Caenorhabditis elegans: one gene and its partner. The protein of the gene in region 2 interacts with the protein of the main gene of each other region in a pairwise test. Each region holds a gene or a part of one and is shown on either strand. Other genes may lie near its edges. The genes, in order: ifb-1 and nex-3.

The links.
Region 1: the proteins of nex-3 (region 2) and ifb-1 interact in a two-hybrid assay, tested with the Caenorhabditis elegans proteins (one large-scale study listed by BioGRID).

Annotation. Positions count from the first base shown.
Region 1 is NC_003280.10:5,761,265-5,773,665, reverse strand, and holds ifb-1 (Intermediate filament protein ifb-1), read right to left. Parts: upstream 8,049-12,401; 5' UTR 8,025-8,048; coding exon 7,892-8,024; intron 5,445-7,891; exon of another isoform or gene 5,321-5,444; intron 4,722-5,320; exon of another isoform or gene 4,706-4,721; coding exon of another isoform or gene 4,666-4,705; intron 4,568-4,665; coding exon 4,317-4,567; intron 4,020-4,316; coding exon 3,898-4,019; intron 3,853-3,897; coding exon 3,064-3,852; intron 2,954-3,063; coding exon 2,752-2,953; intron 2,705-2,751; coding exon 2,597-2,704; intron 2,140-2,596; coding exon 1,975-2,139; 3' UTR 1,582-1,974; downstream 1-1,581. Other genes in the region: Doublesex- and mab-3-related transcription factor dmd-5, read left to right, coding at 1-163, 475-567, 982-1,203, 1,252-1,475. UniProt on the Caenorhabditis elegans protein: Cytoplasmic intermediate filaments provide mechanical strength to cells. Essential protein, involved in attachment structures in epidermal cells that connect muscles to the external cuticle. Required in morphogenesis and epidermal integrity.
Region 2 is NC_003281.10:4,437,817-4,447,123, reverse strand, and holds nex-3 (Annexin), read right to left. Parts: upstream 5,044-9,307; 5' UTR 5,032-5,043; coding exon 4,990-5,031; intron 4,947-4,989; coding exon 4,848-4,946; intron 4,777-4,847; coding exon 4,556-4,776; intron 4,120-4,555; coding exon 3,717-4,119; intron 3,392-3,716; coding exon 3,278-3,391; intron 3,080-3,277; coding exon 3,005-3,079; 3' UTR 2,887-3,004; downstream 1-2,886. Other genes in the region: ceh-43 (Homeobox domain-containing protein), read left to right, coding at 108-281; C28A5.2 (REJ domain-containing protein), read left to right, coding at 7,581-7,634, 7,684-7,821, 7,867-7,932, 7,980-8,282, 8,332-8,507, 8,555-8,675, 8,722-8,919, 9,024-9,235 and 1 more.

The DNA of each region.
Region 1 (12,401 bases), on a different chromosome or scaffold from region 2:
CACAAACGTTACTGTCAATGGAAGGATTGTATGTGTGCAAAGTGCACATTAATTGCCGAAAGACAACGAGTTATGGCTGCTCAGGTTGCTCTTCGTCGTCAGCAATCTCAGGAAGAAAGAGACGCAAGAGATTTGGAAGTACTTCTGGGTTCTGCTGGAAATGGTAAGTCAGCTTATTTAAATATTCGGGGATTAAGCTGTGGAATGCTGGTGCTGAATCAGTGCATGTGTTTTTCCCGATCAAGTATTTCCGGTCATTTTTCATTCAAGTTGTGTCTTGAACAAGCTTCCCGCTGTGCTCGAGGTGCTAGACTAACTATTGGGTAACCTGACACTAATATGACCTATACTTGTTACAATACTAATAGTTCATTAGGGTCATCTTTGTATGCTCACACACCTTCTACAATGACACATTGTTCTCTTTTTTTATAGAATAACACGCTAACTTTTTATTTAATTTCTATTTTTTAGCGAATGATCTCCTCGATATTCTTCGTCTCGATGCCGGTGAACATCACGGGAAAAACCACGCTTCTCCGACGACCAACAACAATAATAATACTGGTGAGTCGACATGACAGCCTGTTCGAGACAGAGAAATGAGAGTGCGCTCTCTTCTTCCCGCAGTAATGTGAAGGCTACGGAGCGCCGCGTCGAATGGCCAGCACGATGGCCGAGTGGTTAAGGCGTTGGACTTAAGTTCCAATGGTGGATAACACCTCGTGGGTTCGAACCCCACTCGTGCTAAACTTTTTGCGTATTCGGAAACAGGTGCACTTTTACCCCATCTCCATAATCCCCGTACCTGGTTGCGTAAGTCAATTAGCTAGAGAGCACTGTAAGCTTTACGAGAAGCAGATGCATTTGAGAGGGATAAGCTATTCACAATATTGATGGGATTAATCTAGATTAGCACTTTACAAGTCAATTGCTCTCATTTAAAAGATTAACCTTAACTAACCTTGCACTACCTTTCAGAAGAAAAATACGAAGACTCACAGGGACAACGGAGTTCACCAAGCTCTCCAACAGGTTCTGAAACTGTTGTAAGCACTTCTTCCCCACCTGAGCTCTCATCTGAATCAACACCAAATACCAGTGGCTCAGTGATTCCAACAAGTCCAGTTTTCAAACCAAATGGATACTCTTCAATGCCAATGTTCAATCCTGTGTATGGAAGACCATTCATGAGATTTCCGAGTAAGAGAGCTTATTCAATATTATTTCGTAAATTAAACTTATTTTCAGTGTTTTCAGTGATGCCGCATTTCTTCGGAACTCCATCAATGTCAGATTTCGCATCTGCTGCGAGCCTCGCAGCTCCACCAGCGTTCTTCTCAGCCCAGCCAACAATTGCCACGTCATCACCGAGCACAATTTTCCCACAAACTGCTCCATTGGATTACAGTCATCGTTTAATGAAAAATGAGGAAGCCGAAGAAGAATACCGAGAAAATGATAAAACATTTTGAGAAATTGAATATTTTTTCTTATCGTCAGAATCAGAGTTCCAATACTTTGTATATTTTTATATGGTCACATTTAAAATTGTATTTATGATTTGTCTTCAATTAAAAAAAACTAAACTGAATAAAAAATCTTATTAAAATTGAAAAAGAAGTAGAAAACATTGAATAGAAAGATTTTTCGGTGGAAAATGAGCGGGGGGAAACACTTGAAGTTTGAACGGGAAAAGCAGTGTATTATGAAAAGAATTGCAAACGTTTTTGTTCTTTTTTTGATGTTTTTTAAAATGAATTTCAGATTAGCGATTTTAAGTGAAGAGTCTTAAGCAAATCAATTCAATATTTTGGTCAGTTTTAGGCAGTTTCAATGAATCAATTTAAAGAAAAAATGTCGAGAAGGTCTATCATCAAGAATAATAAGAAAATTATGGACAGAAACTAGAGAACTTGAGTGATTTTGGGGAGTTGTTTAAAAGAGAAAAAGTTGTTTAAAAATAATGAGAGCTTATTGTCCGGATTGGATGGTCTTCTGGGTGTGTGTTGCACGCTCCTCTCCATCCTTGTTCACCAATGACGTCACAACATTGGCTCCGATTCCCCAGGTGTTCTCTCCATCGAAGACAAGAGACTCTGGTGGGTTGTTGATGCCTCCTTGGTCACGGGCGTAGATCTGGAAATTTATTGGAATTGGAATATTCTCTTTTCGAAATTATGTAGATTAGTTTCTCAGCAAATGCGAGAAACCCTTAGACTAACCCGAAACGATTAAATTTCATAATGAGACCTCTCAGAAAATGTTTCCAAATTTCTTATGGTGGCTCAAAACTTGGGGAAAACATTTTCAAATTTCTAAAACCTGTAACTCTGATAAAGAGCATTAGAGAAATAACAACTGATTTTCCGATATTGCTACATGGACAATCTCACAAAATTTCAGATTTTAGCAAAATTTGGCCATTCCCTTTCAAAATTTTTTTTTTGGAAATTTTCAGGTGAAAGTACGTTTTTAACGGGCTTCAGACTATGTTGGCTGGGTTTCTCAAAAATATAGTGGCAGACTAAAAAAATACTAAGAATATTTACATAGCTACACACTTTTTTCTAAAACAATGATAAAAATAACTTACGGTCAAGTTCTTTCCTGGCTTGATAACAACATTGGCTGGAATGGAATAGACAATTTCGCGTCTTCCATCCAACTTTCTTCTGATTTTGTGCTCACCAACATTCTCATCCTGAAATAAAATTTTCAACATTTCAAAACCAAAAAGCTTCAACATACCTTGTTTCTGTGCGAGTTCTCAAGCTTGATGAACTTTCCATTTGGATCACACTCGGAAATTGTCACATTTCCCTTGGCGGATCTTTGGAAGGTGGTCTTGGTGGATACCTCACCGCGAACTGATCTTGTCGAATCAGTGTTTTCTTGTTGTTGGAGAGAATGCGTCTTGACGGCTTGCTCAACCATTTGGGTGAGTCCGACTCTGCAAATATATTTTTGAAACTTTTGAGAAAGGTTTTAGAACAAAATGATAACAAAACTGCCCAAAATTTGGCTTGCTGGGAATATTGATTAAATAACGATAATAATTACCTGGTCTCTTCTCCCTCGAGCATTTTTCTGTAGATGGCAATTTCGGCGTCAAGCATTTGCTTGGTATCCAAAAGAGCTTGAAGCTCAGCAACCAATGTTTGGCATTCCTCACGCATTCTTCTCAATGTAGCATCTCTGTCGTTGAGGGCAGCTTCGTATTGTCTTTGATCGTCGGTCAATTGGTAGTTCAAGTTCTGAACTTCCTTCTCCAAAAGTGAGTTCTTGTTCTCCAAATCTCCCAATTTTCCGCGGAGATCTCCAATGTTGTCTCTCATTCTCTTGACCTCATCCCTCTGGTAGGTGGACTCCATATTGGCACGGTTGGCAGATCCTTGAACCTCGGAAACCTTGAGCTTGTACCAGGACTCCATGTCTTGCTTTCCTTGCTTGGCAATGATATCATACTCATCTTTGATATCACGGATGGCAAGAGCCAATTCGTTTTTGAAGAACTCTCTGGTGTCAGCTGGAGCCTGAGCAAGGAGAGCTTGAAGTTCCTTAACCTCTTGTTCGTGAACTCTTCTCAAGAATTCGAGCTCCTCCATCAAAGTCTGCACTTGATTTTGGAAGTCAATTCTGCCAATGGTCTCATCATCAAGATCGCTTCTGGCCTTCTGAAGTTCTTCCCAGATTCTCGAGTTGTCAGCTGTAACACGCTTCTCCTCATCTGTCAATTGCTTGAAACGAGCACGGAGCATCTCAACTTCGGATTGAGCATCAGCGATAGCATTGGTCCATTGGGAGATCTTCTCGCGATCGGACTCACGGCGTTGCTGGATATCTTCGTATCTGAATAAATATTGATAAGCAACAGAAAATTAAGAATAAATAAACCTGGATCTGTACTCAGCCAAGTCGTCACGGTGTCTGGCAACTTTCACATCAACCTCTGCCTTTCTACGAGCAGCATCGTCAATGTCCTTACGAGCTGTTGAGAGGGATTCGGAGTATTTGATCTGAAATTAACAATTTGAATAGGAAAGAAGCTTTAAGAAGTTTGTTCCAAAATATAGGTTGAAATTTTAAAAAAACACTGGACAGGAAGCGCACAGATTTTCTTCTGGTAAGTTGAAGATTTTAAGGATGTTTGAGAGAATTCTCTAATATAGTAAATAAAATCTTGAAAGTTTCGAATATATATCTAAATAGAAATTACTGATTCACAATCAAATAATAAATGTTTTTTCTACAACTACTTCAGTTTTTTGCTTGCAGAAGCTTGCTTAAAATTTATTTGAAATTCACTAAAATACCTTAATCTCGGATGTGTCTTTTCCCCATTTTCCGCGAAGCTCATCCAAATCAGCAACCAATTTACGGTTCTGCTCTTCGAGTTTCTTGACACGATCAATGTAATTTCCGAGACGATCATTGAGTCCCTGCAGTGTCTTCTTTTCCTTATCAGTCGCCTCAAGGAACGATTTTGCTGCGTTTGCGGACAAGGCCGGTGAAATTCCTCCGACTGTAGCTGATCCCATCTCTGTCACCATCTTTAGCACGCGTCCTGAACGTTTTTATAATGATAATTAGGAGATTAGATTTGATTTGAGTGTTTTTATATTTCTATTGGGAATTTATATTTCGATATTCTTCTATTCTTACCTCCTGACATTGGTGCCTGTGGCGCTGATTCAGCCTCCATTTCTGATGTGTTTTAGCTTGAAATTTTAAAGTTTTTCTAGAAGATTAAGGGAAAAAAAATAATGAGGAACAAGTTCGAAAATTTCTGAATGAAAAATGAAAAACAAATGGTATAGAAACTAAATGTAAGTGTCACAAACACTATGCAAAATAACGGAAACCGTCGACCAATTCTGACCCTCTTCTGAATACTCCACCCAACGAAGAAATAGCATTAAATTTGTGGAGAACTTAGAGAAAAAGAATGAAGGTGTGTCAATGGTTTTGCCTTCCCGATCATCACCGATGATAGAAAATGGAGAAAGAGAAGAAGATATAATGGTGATAAGTTGAAGACAACGGACATGTACACATACGTACAGATTGCGAGTTGACTGTGCCTATGAATGAATGGATAAATTGGAAGAAAAGTGGAAAGAGATCAAGACACTACTTACTTAGAAATTGAAGATGAAGAATACGTCAAGGTTGTTGTGGGCGGAGTCAACTAAAGATAATCATCTTGATCAGATCTCAATCATTCATTTTTGTTATCTTTTTTAAATTGCGGGGAAGCTAATTAATTTAACTAGGATTCCATTTTTGACATTTTTTGGTAAGGGAGATATTTTTGTTTCAGAAACTAAATCTAATGGTAGGAAGGCTTATTTTTAGGCCAACGTACCTGTTTTATTTTTGTCAATTTGATAGAAATTCAATTAAGAAAAACATCATTTCCAGTCCTCAAAAATGTTTTTAAGTTTAAGAATCTTGAAACACGGGCCGCAAAAATTGACTTATCTCAAGTTAGAACAAAATTGGTTAAAAAATTAGTTTTGACAACTTAAATGTAAGATGGGACATTTCTAATTGAAAAAAAAAACTCTACACCATCTTGCAATAAATCGGAGAAATCCGAGATTCTATCCGAGAAGATCTCATAAATCAAGTGATAATCAGTATAATAAGTTCTTGTCACTGTTCCACCCAATTCTCACTCATTAAAACTAAATGACTAATCACACATAAAAAATGGGTGTTTTCCATGTCTCAGTTTCTCATCATTCAAAATAGTCACATCTTGGGTGTGGTCATTCCTTCCTTTCTCACCTATTTCTCATCTATTTCGTAACTGTATTCTAAATTAAAAGTTATTCAGGGGATTCTTTTAATTTTAATTCGTTACCCAAAAAAAAACAAAATTAAAATAAATGATGAATAAAATCAATAAAAGCTCGGATTTCTTCAAAGTCCGTCAAGTTTTCAAGTGTGTTGAGCAGTCAGCCGGCTGGCGGAAAGTGTGCCCAAGAAACAACAAACTAAACATTTTGTTGACTTAATCGGCTCAATGTATCTTTTTATACATGTTATCTCAACTGGTTACGAAAATTGAAATATTGTATTTAAAACTGTCTGAAATTTTGGTGCCTCTTTCAATCTGTTATTTGCTTTTTGCATTTTATTTCCAAAAATGTTGCCATTTTTATGTATATGCATAGTTGAAGACTATTTGCCTAACAACTCTTTCTGTCATGCACTATAAACTTGATGGAACTTGAACTTTTAAATTCAATAGATTTTTGGTTTGAAAATGAAGGGCGTTCCTCAGTGATTATGCTAATTGTGAGACTGTATCGAGAGACGAGAAAACCCAGAGATTTATGGGATTTTTTGGATGAGAAAAAGTGGATTTAATGACGGTTGAATAGGAAACGATATGGGCTGCCGGAAAAAAATCTTGTGGTCTTATATTTTGATCTTGATCTCCAGATTTGCTTAAAACAATAAAAAAGAACAATTTTTCTTTTGTTATGGTAATGCCTGCCTATTTTCTATTTTCACAGTGAGTTAACTTGCTCAAAGAACAACTAAAAATTACAAACATAAAAGATAACTTGTGTTTAGGCAGCAGATACGTGCGTAGGCTTACGGCAAGTTATAAGAAGCTAATACTATGTAGTAAGTTTACGTACCTAAATCTCTGACTTAACAAACAATTTTCAATTTCAAATTTTTACTGTTAAAAACTGTTTTTAGCTTTTAATTAAATATATTTCGACTGCAGTTTTTGAAGTTTTAATTATCCTGACATTTTATGCTAAAATTGCCAATTTCAAATTTTCCCCATTTTTGCCTCAAAACTCCAAAAATATTAATATTTGTTTAATTTTTGAGGAATTCCCCCATTTATTCACAGAAATTTCACTTCATAAAAACCTGTTTCTAGATTTTTGTTAAACTATGAAAAAGTGTGGTTTCTTGCCAAGTGAGCAAATATTAAGAAAACTCATTAAATTAAAAATTGCATTTAAAGGCATAAAGTATTACTTTTTATCTTTTAACTTTTATAATTTCGAAAATAATTGATTTTAAGTGATATTTTTAAGCAGAAGATTTTGGATCAACTCCGAGTAGAAAAAATGTAAAATCCCTGCTCAAAATATTATCCTCTACCAAACTGTTCACCTTTCTCAAAAACGTTTCGTTTAGCCAAGAACAAATCAACGCGTTCGCACTGATAACGACTCTTGCTCTCTTTTTCTCGTTTTTATATTTTCTTTTCATCCTCCAGGTCTATATTTCCATCCTCATTTCTATTGTATAGCACAGCAAAAACCAATATTTACTTCATCTTCCAATTGATTAATAAAACCACCCAAACTATTTTTTTGCAATCGGATGAACGAGAGAGAGAGAGAGAGAATAAAGTGTTCGGTTCGATTGATGCGACTGTTCACTAATTCGCTTTGAATTCAAATACATAATTATGGATGGGTAGTAGACGGATAAACATGTAAACAGAGAAATAGAGAAAGAAAGGAAAAAAGAATATTGGAATATTGGTTCAGTTAATAGTTGATCGGATGTATAGTGTCAACTTGAATTAAGGTCATCTATAAGACCGGTCCAGGAGAAAAATAGCTTGAAGGTTTACTACTTTTGAAAAAATAAAAGTATATTCTGAAACTCTCAATCTAACAGGAAAGTATAGAAAATACGTTGGAAATTGAGTGATCTCTGAAGCTTAGACTTCAGTAGGAAATTTTTTTAAAAGATATATAACTATCCGGATTTCAAATCAAGAATTTGAAACAAGAAATGCTCCTGGTATTGATGATTATTTTCAGAGGAAAGGATATAGTAATAGCTGAAATTTTTTTTAATCTTTACCGTTTTCAACTTTAAATTTTTTTAAAATCTAACTAACCTCCGGATCCTGCTCCATTTCCACCAGACACGTAGTTTCCAGACTGACGTGATTGAGAGCGAACCGCTGTTCTTGGCTGGATGGTGGATCTGTATTGCATCTCGTACTCGGAAGATTCCTTGTGAGACGACATCTTCTTTCAGAAGTTTGACGCTACCTGAAATTTTTTTTTTGAAAATATAGAAGCTGAATTGGGAAAATACAGAAAACTGAGCAAAAAGTAACAATTACAAATTTTAATAAAAAGTGTTAAACCTTAAAACAACAATATGATAAAAAAAAATGTTTCTGCATCCTTCGGCATCCAATTTGTTCCTTATCAAAACCCAAATAAGCGTGGCCGGTTTTCAACAAACATACACACTCATATATATGTTCAACATTTTTTTGAGTACACTCCACAAAAAAACAGAAAACAAATAAGGTGGAGGAGGAGTGACTGAACACGCCCATTTTTGTTCATGGAAATCAGAATTGAATATGGGTGGAAGGACATGATGGTGAGTCAACGTTAACCTGTCAAACAAATTGAAACACCCAAGCACATTCCGGAGAATTGTTAGATGGAAGAACAATAGAGATTGAATTTCTCGCGCATTGTGCAGGGAAATTTGCAAGAATTGGGTGGAAAATGACGAGAAAATGATGGAAGTTAAATGATTTTATTCATGATTTTTTTAAAAGATTATCTTGATTTTTTTTTATTTCTGCAGACTACAGTAAATGCTTCTTATAATTGTTTTTTTCGAGCAACGTGAAATGATCGCAAAATAATAAAAACCTTCTAGGTAGGCACGAAACCTACTAGAATTCACAGGAAAAATAGGATGCAACCAAGTACGAAAGCCGGCAAAAAGGAATGATTTCATGCCTATCTCCTTTAAAGACTTAATTGTTCAGATCTGAAAAACTTTCTAAAAAAAGTGGGACAGCGAAATTTATGTTGCATTTTGTTTCGTAAAGTTTTCAACTTTTATGAATGATTTTGAAAATGAATTGCTGTTTTTTTTTTAATTTTAGTATTCATATTTTCATACCTAAAGCTTGTTGACTCAAACTTAAAATCATAATAAAACTAGCAAAAGATGTGAAGAAACATGTGGGTGTTCAGTGAGTCATAAAGTTGGAAATTTATTGAGTAATTGTATGACCAAGTTCTAATTGACACTACTTGAAATCCTAAACCATTCGGTTACTCATTCACGATAGTTTAGAAAGCTTAAAGTAACTTTGGGGTGGAGTGAATAAAAGTAGAAAAAGACACAGTGCTCCTGCTCTGCTCGGAGTAAAAAAGTGAAGCGAAAAAAATGAAATCGGAAAGACACACACACACAAGCATTCCTACAGAATACCGAAAGGGTATTGTGAGGACGGTCTGTTGCGCCGGGGGTCGATGAGGCAGAGGCCCTGAGAAGCGCCCCCACCAATTGCTCCGCCCCCATTTTGTTGCCGAACCGTCGAAAAACGAGCTGCTATTTGCGTTCCTCCTTCTTTTTTCTCTCTGCGCGCTTCACTTTTTGAAATGATGCGCTTGGCGTATAGGCGTATTCCGAGAGAATTTAGAAGAGATGACGACTACTTTTACCTCATAGGAAGTGGCCGATTATCACAGTCAAGGACAAGAGAGAAATGATTTGAAATGGAAAAATGAGGAGATGTTAGTGAGGGAATTGGAAGAGGGGGAGAATAAGACATTGTTAACATTTTGTTTTCATTTATGGGTGAGAATGATGACAAGATTGGAGGTACAAGTGATCAAATAGTTCTACGAAAATGTTCCGTGCTGGCTAAGGTTTTGCATTTTTAATGTTGGGCTGTGGTAAAAAAATTAAGAACTCATTGTCAGTAAACAAGTTTTGTAAACATTGAAACCTGTAAAAAAATAGTTTAAAATTATCGCCGTCCAGTACTAAAGCTGAGGCATACCGTATTTTCCCTACAAAGTCTGCACCACAATTACTCTACTTTGACGGCCTATTTTCCAATTGTCTCAAGTGTTATCAAAAAATTCTCTACAACCAAAATATAGAGACATATTTGGTACATATTTGGTAGTTGACAATTTATTGATAAAATTTAAAGCAACCGAGATATATTCTGCCAAAGTAGAACCAGAAGATACAAGTCTAATAGGAAGAATACGGTAAGTTGAGGCCAATTTCTAATCTCGAGGCAAATGTGAAAACTAGCATGCACAAATATGCCTACCCGCCTATCTACAGGTACGACTCTGCTTGCAAGAGAGATAGGCAAGGAGGTAGGTAGGAAGGTAAGTAAGTCTACTGGTAGGCGGGTAGGCATCATGCGCTCATTTAGCATTGAAAAATTATAGCCGATATGATAGCTTTCTTCCCGGCTAAGTGGGTAGGTCTCAATGCGCCTGTATGCAGGCGGGTGAGCTTTTTGAATGAATAGAAGGCTACATAACGTTGACCCATCTAATAATACAATAACGAACAAATTTTGAAATTCAGAAAGGAATAAATCCAATTTCAATTAATCATCTACAGACTCTACAGACTAGGAACTATCGCTCTTGTTGTTCTGCCTTTTTTTTACTGATTTTTTTTGGTGCAGTTTGAACCTCTACCAATTAATACTATGAGTCTACTGGTTTTCAATAGATGGTTTCGATGAAAAAAAGAAAGAGAAAAATGAAACTGATGGATTAGGCATAGTTCTCAGTTTTATGTCGTCTTACGGGTGGGGTTTTGTATTTTTGTTTTTATGAACTATTTGAATTTTGCAAATGAGGAAATAGTTTAGATGTTTAAAAAACAAATAAATTAAAATAACGATTTCTCGAAGGATGTGTTATGGAAGACACGAGGGGCTAAACCTTGAAAAAAGCAAATTGAAGTCAAAAGTGATGGGGGCGTTTTACGGTTGGTCGACGTCCTCCTCCTCATTCTTCTTCTCCGCTTTTCTCCTTTTTTCTTGCGTTTCAACTGGATTCGATTCTTCGTTTTTTTTCTTCTTTTCTACCGTCCTCACCCGAAGTCTAACCATTTTCCTATTCAGAAACGGGACGACGCCCAATTTTCGTCGATACTCCGCAGATTCGGAGCGAAGAGGAATCGGAACGAGGAAAACGGGCAAAAACAGATGGAGAAGAGGAATAAGGAGGAAAAAACCACGAAGGATGATAATTGGGTTTGAAATGAATAGGAGGCGGGCAGAGGTGAAAGAAATTTGTATAGAATTGGGTTTTGAACACTTACAGACACCGTTCATGACGTTATAAAAGTACTTTAGTAGTGATGAGTAGTCATGAAAAACTGTAAAGGGAATATTCGAGCTACAAAATATTTATATTTACAGTAGAAGAAATTTGAGCCGAAAACTGTACAAAAAGGAATTAAGCCTCATTGCGTGTCTACTGTTCAGATTAAGATCCCGGTGACTGTATAATTTTTCAATGTTTTAAGGTGAAGCGTAAGTCTAAAAATAAGTTATCCCTGTCTTATAAGTGTCTAGATGGAAGCTAATCATATCAAAATCTTGAACTTATGAAACCATGAGACAAAATAAGAGAAAATTGGTTATTCTTCAGGGAGCTCATTTACAGATATTTTAAGTTTTGCACATCTGTATGAAAAGTTTCAAGGTCATTGTATGTTTTAAAGAACAGAAAATGAGCTGTAAAAGCTAAAACGGGTGCACATCATTCTAGGAATAAACCAAAGTTTACTGATAAACTATATTTCAGCTCAAGCTCGATTTTAGAACTTCAAACTTTTTCCATCTTTCACCTCATCAATCTAAACTAGAATCAACTTGAAACCCAGTACTGAATAATAATTGTTGTGGAAAATGCAAATAAAAATGTAATCCTGTACTGTACACACACACAGAGAGTGAGAGGCTGTTCAGTTCAAATGCGAGAACTGAATTGAAGTGAATGACCTGCTTGATTTCAATCGGAAAACTGTGAGTGCTTAGCTTTTGGATTGAAATTTAGAAGAATATAGCGAAAGAACGAAAATTATGAAACGGTACTGTAGGTTTCTTTAATCACCAAAAATTAGTTTTCAAAAAATAATATATTGAGAAGGAAGACCCAGGTTTTGCCAGGAACAAATGAACACAATAATATGCAAGGAACGCAACAAAATCCAACCATTTATACTTTTCATCTTCATTTTTCGTTGCCTTTTGATGACTCAAATGGGTGTGTCCCTTCCTCTTCTATTTATGTAAAGGAGGACACGCAAAAAAAGAGTGAAAAAAATGAAGAAAAAGAGGCGAGAGGAACGCCTTCTAATTGGTGTCGTCTGGACACTCGTCATCATTTTGTAACCAGTTTTACGGCATAGTTGTGAAAAGAAACAAACTGTTGACAAAAGTTGTTGTTAGTTTATTAGGTTTGAGAAAAAAAAAGATAATTCCGGGTTTTCAATTTTTAATTTGTTCTAAGAAAGTGTTCAGAAAGTATTATTTACAAAAGCTTAATTTCCGAGTTTCTATGTGATTTGTCAAGTTTGTAAGAATTGAAAGTGTAACTTTCCGG
Region 2 (9,307 bases):
AGTTTGCATAGAAGGCGACCACGCCTGCCTCGTAGGCACGCAGGCAGACACTCTTCGTCTGCTTTCAAGCTCTTTCGCAAAGCATAATAATTCCTAATATTTTTCAGATGACACTCAACGAGCAATATGCTTCTCCTTACCTCTACGGATCCGACTTTTCAACGATTCTCCCACCGTCACAGGGTTTCCCCAACAATGCGCTCTACAATACGGCAGGCGCTTATCCTAGCATTGACTACACAAATGGAGTATACCAGAATACTCTTTACAAGTATGTCTGAGGATATAATATTTCCTTTTTCTTGACTGTCAGTTAATTTAAAAAATTCTTTTTTACAAGGCTCTTGTAGTACCTTGCTAAAATATGTTCACTTTTGAATAAGCTGTCAGCCTAGAAAATATTGATTTTCTCGATGATTTGTGTTTTTTTCTTTCCAAACTTTTCTATGGTCTCATGGTTTTTGATATATAAATCGATATTGAACGTTTGCTTTTTTAAAGTTTTTTACTTGAAAAATGGCAGAATGCCAAGAATTATCAATCGACGAAAAGTTAAATTTTTGTATTTTTGAGTTTCCAGACAAAGTCTCCTAATTTTTTGGCAAATTTCGTATTTAAAATAATTTCTTGACTTTACTATAATCCAATAGTTTCCTGGTTTTATAAACTGTACGGTTTTTTTAATTGTTTGATTTTCTCGGAAAACCCCGATAATTTTTTTTAAATAGAAAAATTGGAAACAAATTCTGAATACACTCTTGGGTGGAGCCAGTATTTAGTCATTTTGCAACTAACTTGAAGATAATTTTGAAACAGAACCGTAAAGAAAAACTTGGTTCTTCTGAGCTTTGCAATTCTCTGTCTAATTTTTACAAAATACAAAGCCGCCTGCTTCTCTACCTACAATGCGACTTGCAGTAAAAAAAATAGGCGGTAGGCACGTAGGCAGGCAAGTAGGCACACAATAATAAAGTAAAACTTTTCCATAATCTGAAAATTTTGCAGCTCTACCAACCCAACATATAAATCACCGCATCATCTGACCTCATCGGCTACACCATATTAGTGCCCCTGCAAGATTCGGCGATAGTCTGCTCATTTTTACATTTTCAAATGCCTTCCAAAACCCTCATTTTCAGGTGTAGAAGACTTTATTATCATTTTAGACATTTGTTTGAGATTTTCATTCAATTTTTTAAAAATTTAAATTTAATGTAACATTTTAAATTCAATTAAAATGAAATCCCAGCTGAATTGAATGATTCTATCAAATAAATGATGTATTCAGAAGGTCCCGTTTGATCTCTAGAAATCGCGGAAAACTAGATTTTTGGCGCGATTCCTTGAGATCAGAGCCAGTTTACTTTCTGAATACTTACTTCTGAAAAAAAAACTTACTTTAACTGTTCAGATCTCTACCGATCTTCTTTAAAACTCCCTTCAACCTGTGTGCTTTTCCTCATTTCTTTAAAACTTTCTTTCCCTTCCTCATGTCTTCAACTCAATTTCACCGATTCCAGTTTTTTTCGTCTTTTCATTTTAATCCAACGGCCAACCGGGTGCCCGTCTTTTTTATTTATAATTAGATTCCTATCATATTGATATACTATCTTTTTTACTGTAAATTGTACTTTTAGTGAATAAAAAATTAAAATCTTCATACTATTTTGCAAATATAAAGAGTTTTTCTTAAAGTTAGCAGCGGATTTGATATTTTACTGTAGATATGATAGTGGTACGGTAGATGTATTGTAGGGAAAAATATTTAGAAATTGTTTTTTTTGTTCAAATGCTAGCTTTTTTTAAATCATGATTCTTTAAACAATTTTATTATAAATTTTTTATGCCAAATAATTTTCTAAAAATTAACACTTTGAAATTCCCGAACAAAAATGTTTTTTGAAAAGTTAAAAATTTGAATTTTTCGTCTAAAGTTGTTTAAACTAAAGTTATAATTTTAACGCTTAAAAATTTTCAATTTTTGCGATTTTTAAAATTTTAAACTCTAACTTTTATGTTGAAAAAAAACGCCGACAAGACACGACAGGCAGGCAGGTAGGCGCCAGGATCCTGCCTGCCTGTCACAAATTCCAAAATTTCAACACTAAATTTCATTGACATTTTCTCAATAAATCACTCATCAGTCTGTTTTCACATACCGCCCGTTCCTCTCATCAAAAGGGGTTTTTCCATCATTTCAACGTGTGTGTGTCGGCGGTGAAATGGCGGAATCGACGGAACGGCGCCTGAATTACGGTGGGAAAAGGGAGGAAATTCAACCCCACCATGACCTCTTCTTCCCCGACAAGACATAGAGAGATGGTTTGAATTATTGCAAAATAGAGCCTGAATGAATAGGAATCGAATGCCGATGAACGAGGAACACGCCAATTTTCGATCCATGTGAGGGTCACTATGAAGAACAAAAGAAATGGAATCTAAAAGGAAACGGAAAAGGCGTCGGGAGGGGACCTTATGGATAATTATAGTCTGCAGTTTTGCTACATAACAAATTTTTGAATTTGATTCAAGGGGAGAATCTTAAAAAGATCAAGAGTTCGTGATGAAACAGAGAATGGCCAAAATTATGGACTGGCACATTAATTGAAACATTGTTCTACAGTGAAATAAATATTTTTCTGCATTTAGTTTAACAGACTTTTAAATGAGTCTAATCAGAAATTCTATAGAAAAATATTTCGATTAATAATCGGGGTTTTGAGGTACAATTGCTTCAGGTCCTGTTCTGTTCTAACCGACTCGGGAGATGTCAGCTGCTCGAAAATCATAAGAAATTTATAATGGGATGTTGACCAGCATTGAACGTGGGACATGTAATGCTAATTTTCAAGAAAACTTTGTGAGCACTTTTTGGAATTGTCGCTTGTCATTTTTCAAACTTTTATTAAAATAAAAACGTTTAGAAATAGATTTTATAAAGTAGTTTCAATGTAAAGCAATTTCAAACAGAAAGCATTTTAATCGATAGTTTGTATTTCATTTTCTAAGGTCTTGGATTTCCCTTGACAAGCATCGTCAAACCATCACGGTATTCTGCCTTGCACTCCTCCTTGATTAGCTGCAATTTTATGAAATTTATAAAGAGAAACCAATATGGTTTTCTATAGAAAATATTACGAACATCGCTCTGGGGATCTTAAATAGAAATTTGTATTTTGAACTGTATTTGGAAATATCAACATATTTTTTGTTCTATTTTCAGTACACATTTTGGCGTAAACGTTGCAGGTAATATCAGTCTACTTGATAGGCTCACCTGAGTCAATGGTTTTCCAAAAAGAGTTTGAAATTCGTGTTCAATGATCACCAAATCATTTTCCGATCGGGATACCAGAATACGAATAAGATCCTTGTCACGTGTTCCCATTCCCTGAAAACATGAATATTTCCTGAACTTTGAGGGTTTTTATCTAGAATGTTTTTAGCGTTACCAGCTTTAGTTTAACTCTTTTCCTATATCTTCATAGTTGATTAATTTTATCTAAAGCCTTACGCCTACACGCGTGCCTACTACATTGCTTACTTCTGTGCCTACTTCCGTGCCTACGTAGGAAGTTAAGCACGATATGTGTGTAGACTTGTGAAAGTTCCTACATGTAACAAAAAGATAAATGTTTAAATCAAATCAGGAAATTTTTGTCATTTACCTAAAGTCAAATTTCTCTGAACTAAGATTTCAAATATCTTGCACCTACCTTGGTTGCCAAATGAATCGAATTTGCAAAATATCGAGGCTTATTTCTCGAAGTCTCAATAAGAGACAACACCAAATTCTTGAAATCTCCGCTGAGCTCCTTGTCAATAAGTTTCTGGAACTCTTTTCCAGATTGTCTCTCGACTTCTTCAATAACTTTTTGAATATGAGCTCCATTGCATGTTGCAAAGATCTTGAACGCATCGAATTTTTCGACTCCAGACTTTTTGTCAAAACTTTTCAGAATTTGAGCAGCGTGAGGCCCAACTTTGAATGTATCAGCGAATCCACCTTCTTCGCGTTTTGCTTGGAGAATGACAATGAGAAGACGCCGGAAGTCTCCAGAAGTATCAGCAGAAATTGCATCTTCCAATGATTTGGAGTAAGTCATGAAGTAAGTGTTTCTAGAAAAAACATATGTTGATATTAATTTTTTTAAGGACATTTTCTAGAAAACAACTTTAAAATTATCATTGGGTTCGTTTTCGGGAGACCTAACTAGCTTTCAAAAGCCTACGCACAGGAATTACGACTGATTCATACTTTTGAAATCTCCGCCTTTCTGCGTGCCTACGTTATACCTTGCTTCGGGACCTACATCAAGACTGTCTGCCTATGCCTTATTCATAACCATAGTGCTGTCTGGGTTATGTTTGTCTACCCACGGACCTACCTTATGCCTGCCTAAGTGCCTACTCTGCACCAAATCGCTGCCTACCTATGTGTTTTCACGTTCCCGCCTGATGTCTATACCATGCCTACTTCCCAATTGTTTCTGTTGTTGTAAAATTTAGTTTTGACTTCAAGCTTCTAATTTCGAAAAACTTTTTAAAAACTAACTTCGCCGCTTCAATTTCCTCGTTAGTCCTAGTTGTCAGAATTTCGATCAAATTTTTCTCATTTGTTCCAAGACCCTTCACAGATCGATTCAGCTCAGTCACGTCTAGTTTAGTAGGAGTTTGAAGTAGAGCAACGAGAAAATCTTCGAAATCTCCAGAAAATGCTTTTTTGATTTCATCTTCCAAATCCTTTCCGTAACGAGTTTTGTAGGGTGTGCGGATCTGGAAATATGGAGCTTTTAGACATAGGCAGGTGAGTAGGCAGGCATGCCTACCTACCATTAAAATCTTACCATCTGTCTCTGTGTATTATTAACCGAAACCAAGATTTCCAAAATCTTCAGTTTCTCCTTGTTTCTAAGAGCCTTCTCTAGTTGCTCCGAGGCGGCAACCTACAATTTTCGGCTTAACTTTACTAGTTTCCCACAGGCTTACCTCATCAAAATACGGCTTGAAATGGATCTTTGCAGTTGCCATTATGTCGGTTTTCTAGAACTTTGAGGTATATATTTCAGGTAGACTTTTTGAGGTATTTGGATAATGGGAGAATTGAATGTGGTAAAGAATTTTGCACTTTTGGATCAGGGATTACACGACAGTTCAATATAGTACAAAGAAAAAGTGAACCGAATTTGCTTGTAAAATATGATGTATCAAGTATGTGTGAACACGGCCAATGCATCAAATTTTATGAGCAAATCTATAGAATGTGGGAAGTGCAGTACTTTCTGAATGCTTTATTGATAGCGTTTCAGATTTATTTTTTTTAGGATTTTTAAAGTAAATATTTTAATTTTCCTAAAACGCCTAATAGCTCCCTATGAGGCTGGCAGAATTCAAGATTCTCGTAATTTCGCAGTTGGATAATATTTTTTATTTATTTTCTTCGTAGGGAAGTTTCAAGTATTACGTCCACCAATGAGTGTAAATATTTGTGAAACATTGAAAAGAAGTCTGCAAAATAGTGGAAAATTGACGTCAGTTCATCTTTGATTCCTACTTTTTAAACGGAAATAAAATTAAATTGAAAGAGATTCATAACTGGTTATGCTTCGAAAATAAGGCAGAAATATATTGAGAACGAAATAACTGCGATGAGTCATTTGAAACTGTCTGAACACTTTTATTGTCCACAAAAATAGGGAGTGGTTTTTCGAAAAAGAGACCTTCGAAAAGAAAAGAGATGTGATGATGAGTCAGTGGAATTTTAGAAAAGAAATTTTGAAATACTTTTGATTTCGAAATTAAATAGAATTTTTGGGGAAACTTTCCTAACTTTGACAATTAGAAAATTTAACAATTTTGCTACAAAAAAAATTATAGCTTATTATTTGTCATTGGTATTTTTTAAGGTATTCTGGGAAATTCAAACATTTTCGTTATTTTTCTAGAATTTTGCGTGAAAAATGATGAAAAATTAAAATTAAAATTGAATCAAAAACCGTTTTCTTCCCACTATATCATGTCACTATATCATGCACTTCTTAACTTAATTTTAAAATTAAAAAGAAATATTAAAAGCAACAGAAAAGTGGAAAAAACTTGAATTTACGGTTTTACCTAACGAGACCCAATGTTTAGGGGCGGAGCGTTTAAAATTGGCGTTGGGGCGAGATTGATTTTCGATTTCGAAAGGCGTTTTTTGCGTCCCCCTAATATGACTTTTGATTTTTTTTTTTTGCAAAATAGATTCTTGCACGAAAATTTTCGGGAATATTGTTACAGAACACTTGTGAGGAAATTTGAATGTTTCACTATCACATTATTCACGAAAATTGACAGAAATATAAAGGTCTGAGAATATTATGAAAACTTATTATTTAAAATTCTGCTCAAAAATCGCAAAATAAATGCTCTGCGGATATATTGAAATTCCAAGTTCTATAAAATTGCAAAAACTTGTGAAATACCTGCCCAAATGCGAACAGATCATCATTTTCGTGTCTTTTCAAAAAGGTTGGCAGACACTTTGAAAGAGAAAGTGAGGATATTCGGAACGAATTCAATTGAAATGGTCACGGTTGAAAAGGAATTATACATTATTGATGCTAGTTAGGATATGTATAGGCTTCTATTGTGAATTACAATTGAGATCAATTTAGAGAAAATATTCTTCAAAAATATCGTATATAAATGTTGAAAAATAGAAGAACAAACTGTCTCAATATCTCAAATGTTAACTAAACAAGCAAAAGTTCTCGTTTTTTTTTTCTGCAAAGAGTCATCGAAAACTATAATAAAAAATGGGAAGAAAGAATGAGGAAATGTGTTTGTAAATAAAAAAAGAATTGGGAGAAAGTTCAAACAAATAGACATTCGAATCGTTTGTTTAAACTTCTTGAGTTTGTCCTTGTTTGATGGTGGAGTACTGTCAATGGGAGATTTTAGCAAGAGTGGAAAAATCACCAAAATCTGGGATTTTTTAAACTTAATGTCATTATTACATTTTTCTTTAAAGCAGGAGTATCGCCTGTGGGGAAATAGTCAAAAACTACATATATAGTGGCAAAAGGACCAAATATCATGGAAAAACTTTGGAAGCAGCTGGAAAGTGAGAACTGAGAAGTTTCAGACCAACTCCGCCCTTTTTTCTTTGAATTTGCTTAGGTTCGCAAAAACTTGAAATTAGCATCAAAATGTTTTATGGCTTATTTCTGTACAGTTCAAAATTCGACATATCATCGTCTACACCAAACGAACAAGTCTTCACAACAATTTTAATTCCACCGTTGTAGGCCTGAAAATTTCAATCCGGTTACAGTCACACTTAAAGGTGCATGCATGTCGGTTCACAGGTCTCACCACGCCACCAGTGCATGCCTGCTCGGTCCAAACGGAGATTTTCCCATTTTTCGCTTTCATTTAGCTAATTTTTTTGTTAAAAAGTGATTTCTAAATTTGAAAATAGTGAAATTCGGTTAAATCTTCAGCGTAAAGTGTTCAGATTTGCTTTGGACTTCTTTAAAACATTTTTAATTCAGATTTACGAGTTTCTGTGACTTGCCGATGATTATCACCGCAAAACAATGCATTTTTATAAATACGGCGTTTTGATTGATCAGCTCAGAGATTCGTTTGAGGTATTTTCTTTAATTATTTTTAATTAGTTCGTAAAATCATTATTTTCAGTGGAGAGTCGCATTCTTGGATGGATCTGTCAGTGATCATTGTTGCATCACCGTTCCTTCGGAAAAGTTTAACTTTCCGCCGACTCCAGGAGCAACTGTTAAAGCCAAATTTGAACACGCGAACAGCTTTTTGCCATCGGTATCATATTAATTATGAGTAACTTTCTCAATTTAAAATGTTCAGCTTGTCGCACAATGTGGCAGTTTTGAATGGTTTCGTGATGTAACGGTGGTGAATTCCAAAGTTGTGGTATGAAAATCGAATTATTTTACCATTTTACAATCAACTTGTTTCAGATCTTCGCTATTGTGCACTTCTCAAATGAATGTCTAGAAAGAGATCCATTTAAAATAAATGGAATGGATTACAGCATTATCGAGAACGAGAATACGGACTTTCAAAAGATTGTACTTCCAACTCGTGTGCTTCAAACCTCAATCACAAGTAGATCAAATTTGCAAAACACCGACACTCCTTTTATTTATCGAATCGGCGTATGCTGGGAGCCAATAAGTTTTGAAAACGGCGTGACTGTCAATTGGAGATATTATGCTGATTTTCCAATTACTCCCATTTTCGAGCTCTACTACAGAGAAACCGTACGTTGAGCTAAGAGCCTTAAAGCAAAATATACAACCGATTTTTCAGACTTTGCCTTATATCGCCGAGTCAATGGTATATGGAGTTTTGGAAGGAGTCGTTATCGCTGAAAATGATCACGGAGCACTTTTTTGGACACCGAAAATGGGATGCGCCATTTTACCAAGCACGTCTCTTGACACTCCAATGCCTTCCCTCGGAAGTGTTCATGTGATTCTCGTAAAGTGAGTAATTGGTAAGTATGTTAATATCATAAAATCATTTTCTTCAGACGATGTATCCCCGAAAATTCGTTTGGTTTCTCTTGCTCATACGAGTTACTCTCCAGTTTTCGTTCAACGGAATGGCCGAATCTGAAAGTCATCACTGATCAGATCACCAGAAAAGTATACGTGAGTTACCCAGCATTCGTTTCGTCAAACAATTGAAATATTTCAGATTGAAGCGAATGCAAGCTGCCGCAGTATGATGGAGAATCAAGACTTTCCAAGTATGAATGTTCCACATATCGGGAAAGTGTTCAGAGGTTTACAACAGTACCGTGATAAACTTTCTGCCGGTCATCTCTACGATTTTCGAATGGAATTTCAGAAAGAAGAAGGCTCCTTCGTGCCAACGATTGTGGATCTATGCCTGGTACATACTTTGAAAAAATAATATAAAGGACTCCAAGATAAATGAAAGCAACTAAATCTTGATACTGCTCCTTGTTGTGTGATTTTTAATTGCTTTAATTTCAGGAAGAGGACGAGATGGTTGATTGTCGAGTCGTCTACATTTCCAATGAAACGAGCACTTATTTTGCAGTTCTGGATCCGTCAAGTAACTCGTTTGATCGCTTCAAACAGAGCATCGATTACATTGCAATCCCATTCCGAGTATTGTTTTGTGCTAATGGTGTACATGTGAAGAATGAGGAATTGTTACTGAATTCGTACAAGGTCAGAGTTAGGTAAGGTAAAAACTGAGATATCCATTATTAATAATTGAATTTCCAGAGTTCCGAGAAACCGTCACGACGTTG